2 linked regions of the Pelodiscus sinensis genome follow. The protein of the gene in region 1 binds, or shares a complex with, the protein of each later gene. Links are inferred from orthologs where the notes say so. Each region holds a gene or a part of one and is shown on either strand. Other genes may lie near its edges.

What was found. Proteins that work in one complex are often made in the same cells at the same time.
Region 2: the proteins of GPR161 (region 1) and GNAL are in contact, whole or in part, in a cryo-EM structure (PDB 8KH4), measured with the Homo sapiens proteins. The link is inferred for Pelodiscus sinensis from reciprocal best matches to the Homo sapiens genes GPR161 and GNAL. Residues at the interface, in NP_001254539.1 of Homo sapiens: Arg125, Ala128, Val129, Leu130, Pro132, Met133, Tyr135, Pro136, Met137, Ile139, Ile211, Val214, Ala215, Lys218, Ala219, Lys267, Ala268, Thr271, Trp327, Asn328, Lys329, Arg332; in NP_001135811.1 of Homo sapiens: Ala41, His43, Lys203, Val204, Phe206, Phe363, Cys366, Arg367, Asp368, Ile370, Gln371, Arg372, His374, Leu375, Gln377, Tyr378, Glu379, Leu380, Leu381.

What each region holds. Positions count from the first base shown.
Region 1 is NC_134711.1:149,448,593-149,452,337, forward strand, and holds the start of GPR161 (G-protein coupled receptor 161), read right to left. Parts: upstream 2,290-3,745; 5' UTR 2,157-2,289; intron 1-2,156. UniProt on the Homo sapiens protein: Key negative regulator of Shh signaling, which promotes the processing of GLI3 into GLI3R during neural tube development.
Region 2 is NC_134712.1:86,762,833-86,766,577, forward strand, and holds the start of GNAL (guanine nucleotide-binding protein G(olf) subunit alpha), read left to right. Parts: upstream 1-926; 5' UTR 927-1,298; coding exon 1,299-1,770; intron 1,771-3,745. UniProt on the Homo sapiens protein: Guanine nucleotide-binding protein (G protein) involved as transducer in olfactory signal transduction controlled by G protein-coupled receptors (GPCRs).

The DNA of each region.
Region 1 (3,745 bases):
TGAAAATGGTTAACAGCCCTTACCTAAAGCTTTATCACTTCTCCCAGCTGACCAACATCTCCCTATTGCTCCTGATTCCCATGAGAGCCATTATGATCTCCCTTTATTGTTTCTAGCAGATTCCTGACTACTAACCCTTCATCCTGGTAGGCCTGCACAATTCCTCTGGGCTCCTGATTAGTGGCACTTCCACTGCCAGCTGCCTCAAGAGGCCTCTATTCCGGCCTCAAAAATGTCACTCCTGCTTTACCACCTTTCCCCTGTGTGAACAATGGTGCTCCCCCCCCCCCCCGCAATGAAGCAGGGAACTGTATGAACATAATGTACAGCCCCCTCACTGCTTTGTCACTGAAGCCATATACATATTGCATCCCCAAATCCATGCCAAAAATTGAAAAAAAAATAAAAAGGGAAAGTCAAAAAATTCATGCAAATTTGCTGTTAAAATTTCTTGGAGGCTAGTGATTCACCAGAAAGTGCCACTTTCTGGATATTCATGCCCCCCAGTCAAGAAGGATGGAAAGCAAGATTCCCAGCTAAAGCAGCCTCTGTGAGTCACAACTCCACAAGAAATGCTAATACCAAGTTTGCCTGAACTTGAAGACAATCTTTTTTTGAAATTTCCTTTTATATTTTTTTCAATTTTTGACTGAGATTTTGGAAGGCAGCATGCATAAAAGAGAAAAAAATCATTTTTAAAAACAAATTTCTCTCCATGTTTTGTTAAGAAAACATTAATTTACTGACATTAAAAGAATTTTTAAATTGCATTTACTTCCCACCACCAGTGGAGCTGATTGTTTACGCTTTGCATTTCATTTGGCACAGACCATGGACATTGTGCATAAGATCTTGGGCTGCTTTCAGCTACACCTCTAGTGATATAAATCAGCCCAGAGTCAGCTTCTCTGGGAACTCAGGAAGGATCTATGAAGGAGGAAGGTCAGGCGGCACAGAGTAGGGATGTTAGATATAATGTAATTGAGTAGTCTGTGTAACTACATGAAATCTTAGCAGTTACACAAATATACCACAGTACCCAGGGGCAGGGCCGCTCCCACTCTTGAGAAACCTCTTGTCACCCCACACTGCTGCCTCTATATATGAGGCAGCAATATAGGATGGCAGACAGGAGCTGGTGGATCAGGCGAGCCAGTTTAAAAACCAATTCCCCCACACAATCCCCTAGCCCCATGCTGCTGCCTCTGATACAGAGGGTTTGAGCTCCCCACAGACTGAGGCTGCTGCCAGGGACAAGCCCCTGTCTGCAGCAGGCCCAGGCTCGCTGGGAACAAGGACTGCTCCATATTTGGCAAAGTAAGCACCGTCCTGAGTGTTCAGCAAATGCTTATGCACCAGTGGGAGCAGCTGCGGGTGGTATGTGCAGCTGCAAAGTCGGCATAGGAAGTACTGGGGGGGGAGGGGTTCCAAATACGGGTTCCCACCCTAGTTCTTTAATGTAGACAAGGTCCCACTACGCAGGCCAGGGAAGAGCAAACCATGGAGACAGGCCCTGCAGAGAACACCCTGTATCCTCTCGCAGCCAGAGCGCGGGGAGGGCAGGAAATCCCGGGGGCGCTGCTATTGCTGCCGCAGGGCGCCCAGGAACTCTCCTAAGGCTTCAGCACGGCCGGCTCCTGCCGGAGCGAAGGCGAGAGGGGGGCGAAGCCGAGCCGGTGCCGTGCGGCAGGGCGGGCAGGGAAGCCGGCAGGGCGCTCGGAGCAGGCGGGTCCCGCGGGCATGTGGCGGGGGCGCATCTGTGCACAGGCCCGTCGCCCTCCTCTCGTGTCACCCGCCTGCCGCTCCGAGGGACACTCGAGCTCCGGCCCGGGCGGGATGGTCCCGTGGCCCGATCCTCCCGCAGCCTTCCCCGGGCCCAGCGGCCCCGCTCGGGGCGGGACACCAGGGGGAGGGGGGGGCGCACTCCGCTCGGCTGCTCCCCTGCCCAGAAGCGCAGCCTCCCCCTCGGGCCCGGCCCCGCAGACAAAGGCTGGTGGGGGCGGGAGCCGCTCGCTCCGAGCCCCGCCGGGCTCCTCCAGCAGGGCCCCGGCAGCAAAGGGCAGCGGGAAGCGGCGGGCTGGGCGAGCCCGCAAAGGAGGCCCCCGCGCTGCAGCTGCAGCCACACGCTCCCCTGCGGGGCCGTGGGACAGACTCACCGCCGGGCCGGGCCGCGCCGCGCCGCTTTCTCCTTCCCCTGCCGCCTCCGCTGCAGTCAGGGGCGGGAGGTTTCGGGTTACAGCGCCCGGGACCCCCCACAGCAGCCGCCAAGCCAGAGGCCCGGAAAACCTGCCCGACCCGCCTCCCGGCTCCATCCCCCTTCCACACATCCCCCCTGCCCCCTCCTGTGCCCCTTCCACACCCCTCCTCCTCTCTTCCCCCACCCCCTCCTCCTTTCCCCCTCACATCCCTCCTCCCCCACCTCGCCTCCTGTCCTCACACCCTTCTATCTCCTTCCACGTCTCTCCTCCTGATCTCCCTCATCTATTTTCCTTCTACACTTTCTCTCCTCCTTTCCACATCTTTTCCCACCCCCTCCATCCATTTTTGCATCTCCTTCATCTTCTGTCCCACTTTCACTCTTCTGCTCCCCCACCCTGCTTTCCACTCCCTCCTCCATTCATCTTTCTTCCCACCTTCCTTTCTTTCCTCTATCAGTTTCCTGTTCTCTTCCCATGTTTCTGCACTCAGCAATCCCCCTTCCTACTTTTTTTTTTCCTGACAGGTGTCTTTTCTTTTCGCCTTCCAATCTGCTACAACTTTTCCCTGCTATTTGCTCACCCTTGGTCTACTCTCTCACCCCCTCTGCTATTTTTTCCCCTGTCCCCCTTCATACAGACTCACAAGACCAAATTCAGGGATGTAATATAACTTAAATTCCATTATACTAATTTAGACTTCTGTAGACATTGGTACTAGGGATGTTAAATATCGGTTAATTCACTAGTCAATTAACCTCATGAATTCTTGTCGGTTAGTCGACTATTCTATAGTCCCTGGACAGCCCCTGTCTGGAGGGAAGGGGTCTGAGCTCCCAGACCTGGCACAAGGCAGAACTGAGCCAGGCTGCTTGCCCACCTGGCTCCTAATACACTTTAAAGGCAGAGCTGCAGCGAGGTAAGTCCAGGACCCAGTGCAAGCCAGGACTGAGCTGGGCGGCTGGCCAGCCTGCTAAAAAGTGTACTGGCAAGGGGGAAGAGGGGGGAATGCATGTAGTCTATAGCATTAACCTATAAACTTTTCCTTATTGGTTAATCGACTACACTATTACATCCCTAATTGGATGTAACTTGAAATGTGTGTGTGTAAAACTGTATGAGCATAAAGGCATCTAATATGCATTACCACTACATTTGGCAGGCTCAGATGAGGTATGAAGCAGGGAAGGTATTTGCCCAACATCACATAATAAGTAGCAGAACCAGGAATAGAACCTGGCATCCTGACTCCTAGTTCCTTAAATCATCATAGCAAATGCCAAGAAGACACAGCCTCCTTGCTGATGATATGCCACCTAGATCAATCTGTGGCTACATATTTAAGGTGGCTTGGCTAGATATTCAGCTTGTTCATCACTAGCAATCTTAGTGCACCACCAAAGCTTTTGGCACCTAAGTGATCATTAGCAGGATAGTGACATTCCTTTGTGCATGTGCTTCAGAATTCATTGGTCTTTCATTCCAACAATATACTCATGCCAAGAAACCTGCCCAAACTGAATAAGTGCGGATGGAGGTGACTGCTGGGT
Region 2 (3,745 bases), on another chromosome or scaffold:
TGTCAACTGAGTAATTTATTTCTAAACAGGGCCGGACGGAGGCATGGGCAAAGCCGGGTAGCTGCCCAGGGCACCAACCAATGAGGGGCACTTGATGGCAGCTGTAAGGGGCGCGCGGTGTCCCTTACAGCTGCCATCAGGGGCCGTGCACCCGGCTTCCGCAGCACCGGCGCCAGCCAGCAGCGCCCTTCCCCCCCACGGCCGCGGGGCCCTGCTTGGCTCTGCGCACGAGCCACCAGCGCATGCTGGGCCGGGCTGGGCAGCGCATGCACTGTGCACCCCGGGGGGGGAGGGCCCGCACCCCACAGGTGGGCTCACACCTGTGCCGTGCGCCCGGGGGTGGTGCTGTGAGCCCGGGCCCAGGGCACCAAAAGAGCTCGGGCCAGCCCTGTTTCTAAATAGCTTATTTTGAGTTTTGGTGATGTCTACACAACACTTATTTCGAAATAGAGCACTCTTCCTCCTACTTCCCTTACTTCCCTTAGTCCTCATAAAATGAGGGTTACGGGAGTTGGAGTAAGAAGTCTTCCAGCTTGACAGTATTTTGACATTATGTAGAAATAAGTGCCAGTGGAACGACAGAAAGTGAAGCCCTCAGTTTTTGCGACCGTTGCGGTTTCTGTGTTTCTGTCTGTGTAGATGTGGACTATGTTATTTCAAAATAACGCTAGTTATTTTGAAATAATGTTGCTGTGTAGACATTGCCTAAGGGTGAGGGTGTCAGGGAAGAAAGTTTACAGAGTGAGGGTGTGAAAGGAGTGAGGGTGAATGTATAAAAGAGGAAAGGGAGGAAGTTTACAGAGGGTGTAAGGGAACGGGTGAGGGGTGAGTGAGTGCGGGGGGGCTGTGCGTGTGAGGGAAGGCATGAGCGATAACACTGTCTAGGGGGCCGAGAGGACGGCTCCGGGCACGGAGGAGCCGGCGGCGCGTGTGTGAGGAGCTGGTGCGGGCTGTGACGTGCGAGGGGAGAGCTGTCAGGGTCTGTGGGAGGGGATGGCTGTGAGGCTGTCCGTGTGGGCCGAGGGCCTCCCTTCCCCGCCGCTCTGTGCCTGCGCGGTGGGCTTGCGCTGGGGTATTTACGGTAAGGTGGACGCGGCTGTGGCAGCTCCGTGTCAGGTGATCATCTGAGCCGAGGAGCCGCCTGGAGTCGGAGAGGAAAATGCAAGATGGCCCGACGGGGCCGTGAGGGGCTCCCCGCCGCCCCCTCCCCGCCCGGACCCCGGCAGCGCAGGGCCAGCGGCGAGCGCTGAGGCCCGCCCCGCCCCGCTAGCGCCAGTCCCCGGCAGGGGCACCGAGCCATGGGGCTCTGCTACAGCCTGCGCCCGCGGCTCTTCGGGGACTCCGGCGGAGGCGGCTCCATCTCCAGCGCCGCCTCGGAGCCCGAGCAGCCCGCCGAGCATACGGCCCCCCCGCCCCAGCCGCTCGGGGCCCCGCGGGGAGGCAGCTGCTGCGGGCAGCCGAGGGCCGGGGGCCCGCTCCGCCCTGCAGACAAGCCCGGGGGAGAGGCGGACGGGCCGCCGCCGCCGCTGCTGCTGCAGAACGGAGGCGGCAATGGGGCGGCCCCGGAGTGGCAGCCGCTGCCCAAGCCCGGCGGCGGCAAACAGCCCCGGCAGTCGCCTCAGCCCGCCGCGCTGCAGAGACCCTGGGAGAAGCTGCGCCTGGAGGAGCGGGAGGCGGAGAAGGAGGCGAGGAAAGTCAGCAAGAGCATCGACCGGGCGCTGAAGGAGCAGAAGCGGGAGTACAAGCAAACGCACCGGCTGCTGCTGCTGGGTACGTGTGCAGGGGGGAGAGCCGGGCCGCCGCCGCCACGCAGCCCCGGCCAGCAGGTGCCCACCCTGGCGTTCCCCATAGTCCTTCCTTTGTCTGGCCTTCTCCTTCCTCTTCCCCGCTCTGCTCCCCCACCCGGCCCTTCTTCTTTCTCCTTTCTTTCTCCCTTCGCTTGATAGCCCAGTCTTGCTCTTCTAGCCAGGTTTCCACCTTTTTTTCTTTCCCTTCTCTGTGTCTCCCCCTTCTTAGGATCTGAAAATGGTTTTGCTGTGGAGAAAAGGGTTTGTCATTTAGCCCCATAAAACGGCGAGCTGCTCCACCCAGTCAGCAAAGCAGAAGTGATGTTGAGACGGGAATTAGCAGGCTTCATTTTCAGCTGGGAGGAGGAGGAGGAGGTGTGTGTGGTATGCGGTGTGTGTCTGTGTTGTCTAGCCGGGAAGTAAACGGCGCTTGTGTTGGCATTTCAAGAATTCGAAAATCAGATGCAGGGAAGATGAAAATGGCTTTGAATATAATTTGAACATAATTTGCTCCGTCATAGAACTTCTTTTTGCTACTATGTTGGACTTCTGATGGCTTAATGGAAAGTGAAGTGCTAGGATATAATGGATTGGTAATTTTAAGGAAGGACTAGGGCATATACATACCCATACCGAATTACTTTCCCCTCATAGCTCCTACTTGTTCCAAGGATCGTTGGTGCAACTATCTTTTTTTTTTTTTTAAACCAACCCTGCACGGGTGACTTTTTTTAAACACTGTGCTGCTGACCATTTGCTCTTTACATAAATTAGTTAATAGTCTTCCCTAGAGGCTTAATCCCAGCTAATACCTCTGTGTGCTTTTATACTGTATGAGTATCTACTTACCTGAAGGAAATAGAATAGTTAGACTGCGATTTTTTTTTTTTGGATGATTTAAGCAAAGGGGTTCCTGTGCCTCCTGAGTGTAATAAGAAATCTCTAATTTGTTAGTGTTGAAATATTAATTTTTTTGTACAGATAAGTGTTCTGTATTTGGCTTAGATTTCTACATGCATTCCAGACTGGACAGGTATATTTATTTATACAGCTGTACTTTACTATTAGCGGATTCCTTCATTTGCCTTTTGGGGTAGGAAGAACAAAACAATGTAATATATGGCAGTCTCCAAGACACTTCCTTATGTTAAGGTGTAGTTGAACACCTGATAATTATTATTGGGAGGGAGGCAAATTTCTACTGTTTGAAATGCAGGATATAAAAACAGAAGTGGCCTGTAATACACGCTTGGCCTGTTCAACTTAAATGCTTAAGGTTTAAAATGTATGTCCTATTAAGAATTTTTTTCTGATCTGTAAAATACTGTGGTTGATACCAGTGTAGACAGAAGAAGCTGTTGTCACTGAACATTGGCCTGCCTCTTAAGAGCCTGTTGTTGTTCAAACAACAGGTTGCTGGCAAATAGGTGAAGTGAGTGTAGTCTGTAATGGGAAGGTAATAAAATAACAAATCAGAGAGACAAAAAAATCTCTAAGAAGGATGCTGCTTTTCCTCTTTCCCCTCCCAATAAGCTGATACCTATACCAACATTATTAGCTCAACGCTTCAAAAATCTGAATAGTAATTGCAGTCTAATCTACATCTCTTCCTGTTGTCAAATTAGGGAAGAGGCAATGATGTGCTGCTGTCCTAGGCCCCAGTACAGGAAGGATTTAACCATGTGCTTAACTTTTATGCACTGTGGTACACTGCTGAGGACTACTTGCAATATGTAAAGTTTAGCATGTGTGTCTTTTAGAACTGGGGCCTAAGAAATTGACGTCTCATCCAACATCTTGGACGAGTAAAGCTGCAAGTGCCTTGTGTTGCTATCACTATTCATGTTCTGCAGGGGGAAAAAATAGTAGCTTTTATGTCTAAATTATTAACTGAAAAAATGACCTTCCTAAAAAGTCTCTATATAGCAAAGAAACAGTAACCAGCAAAATGTTTCTCC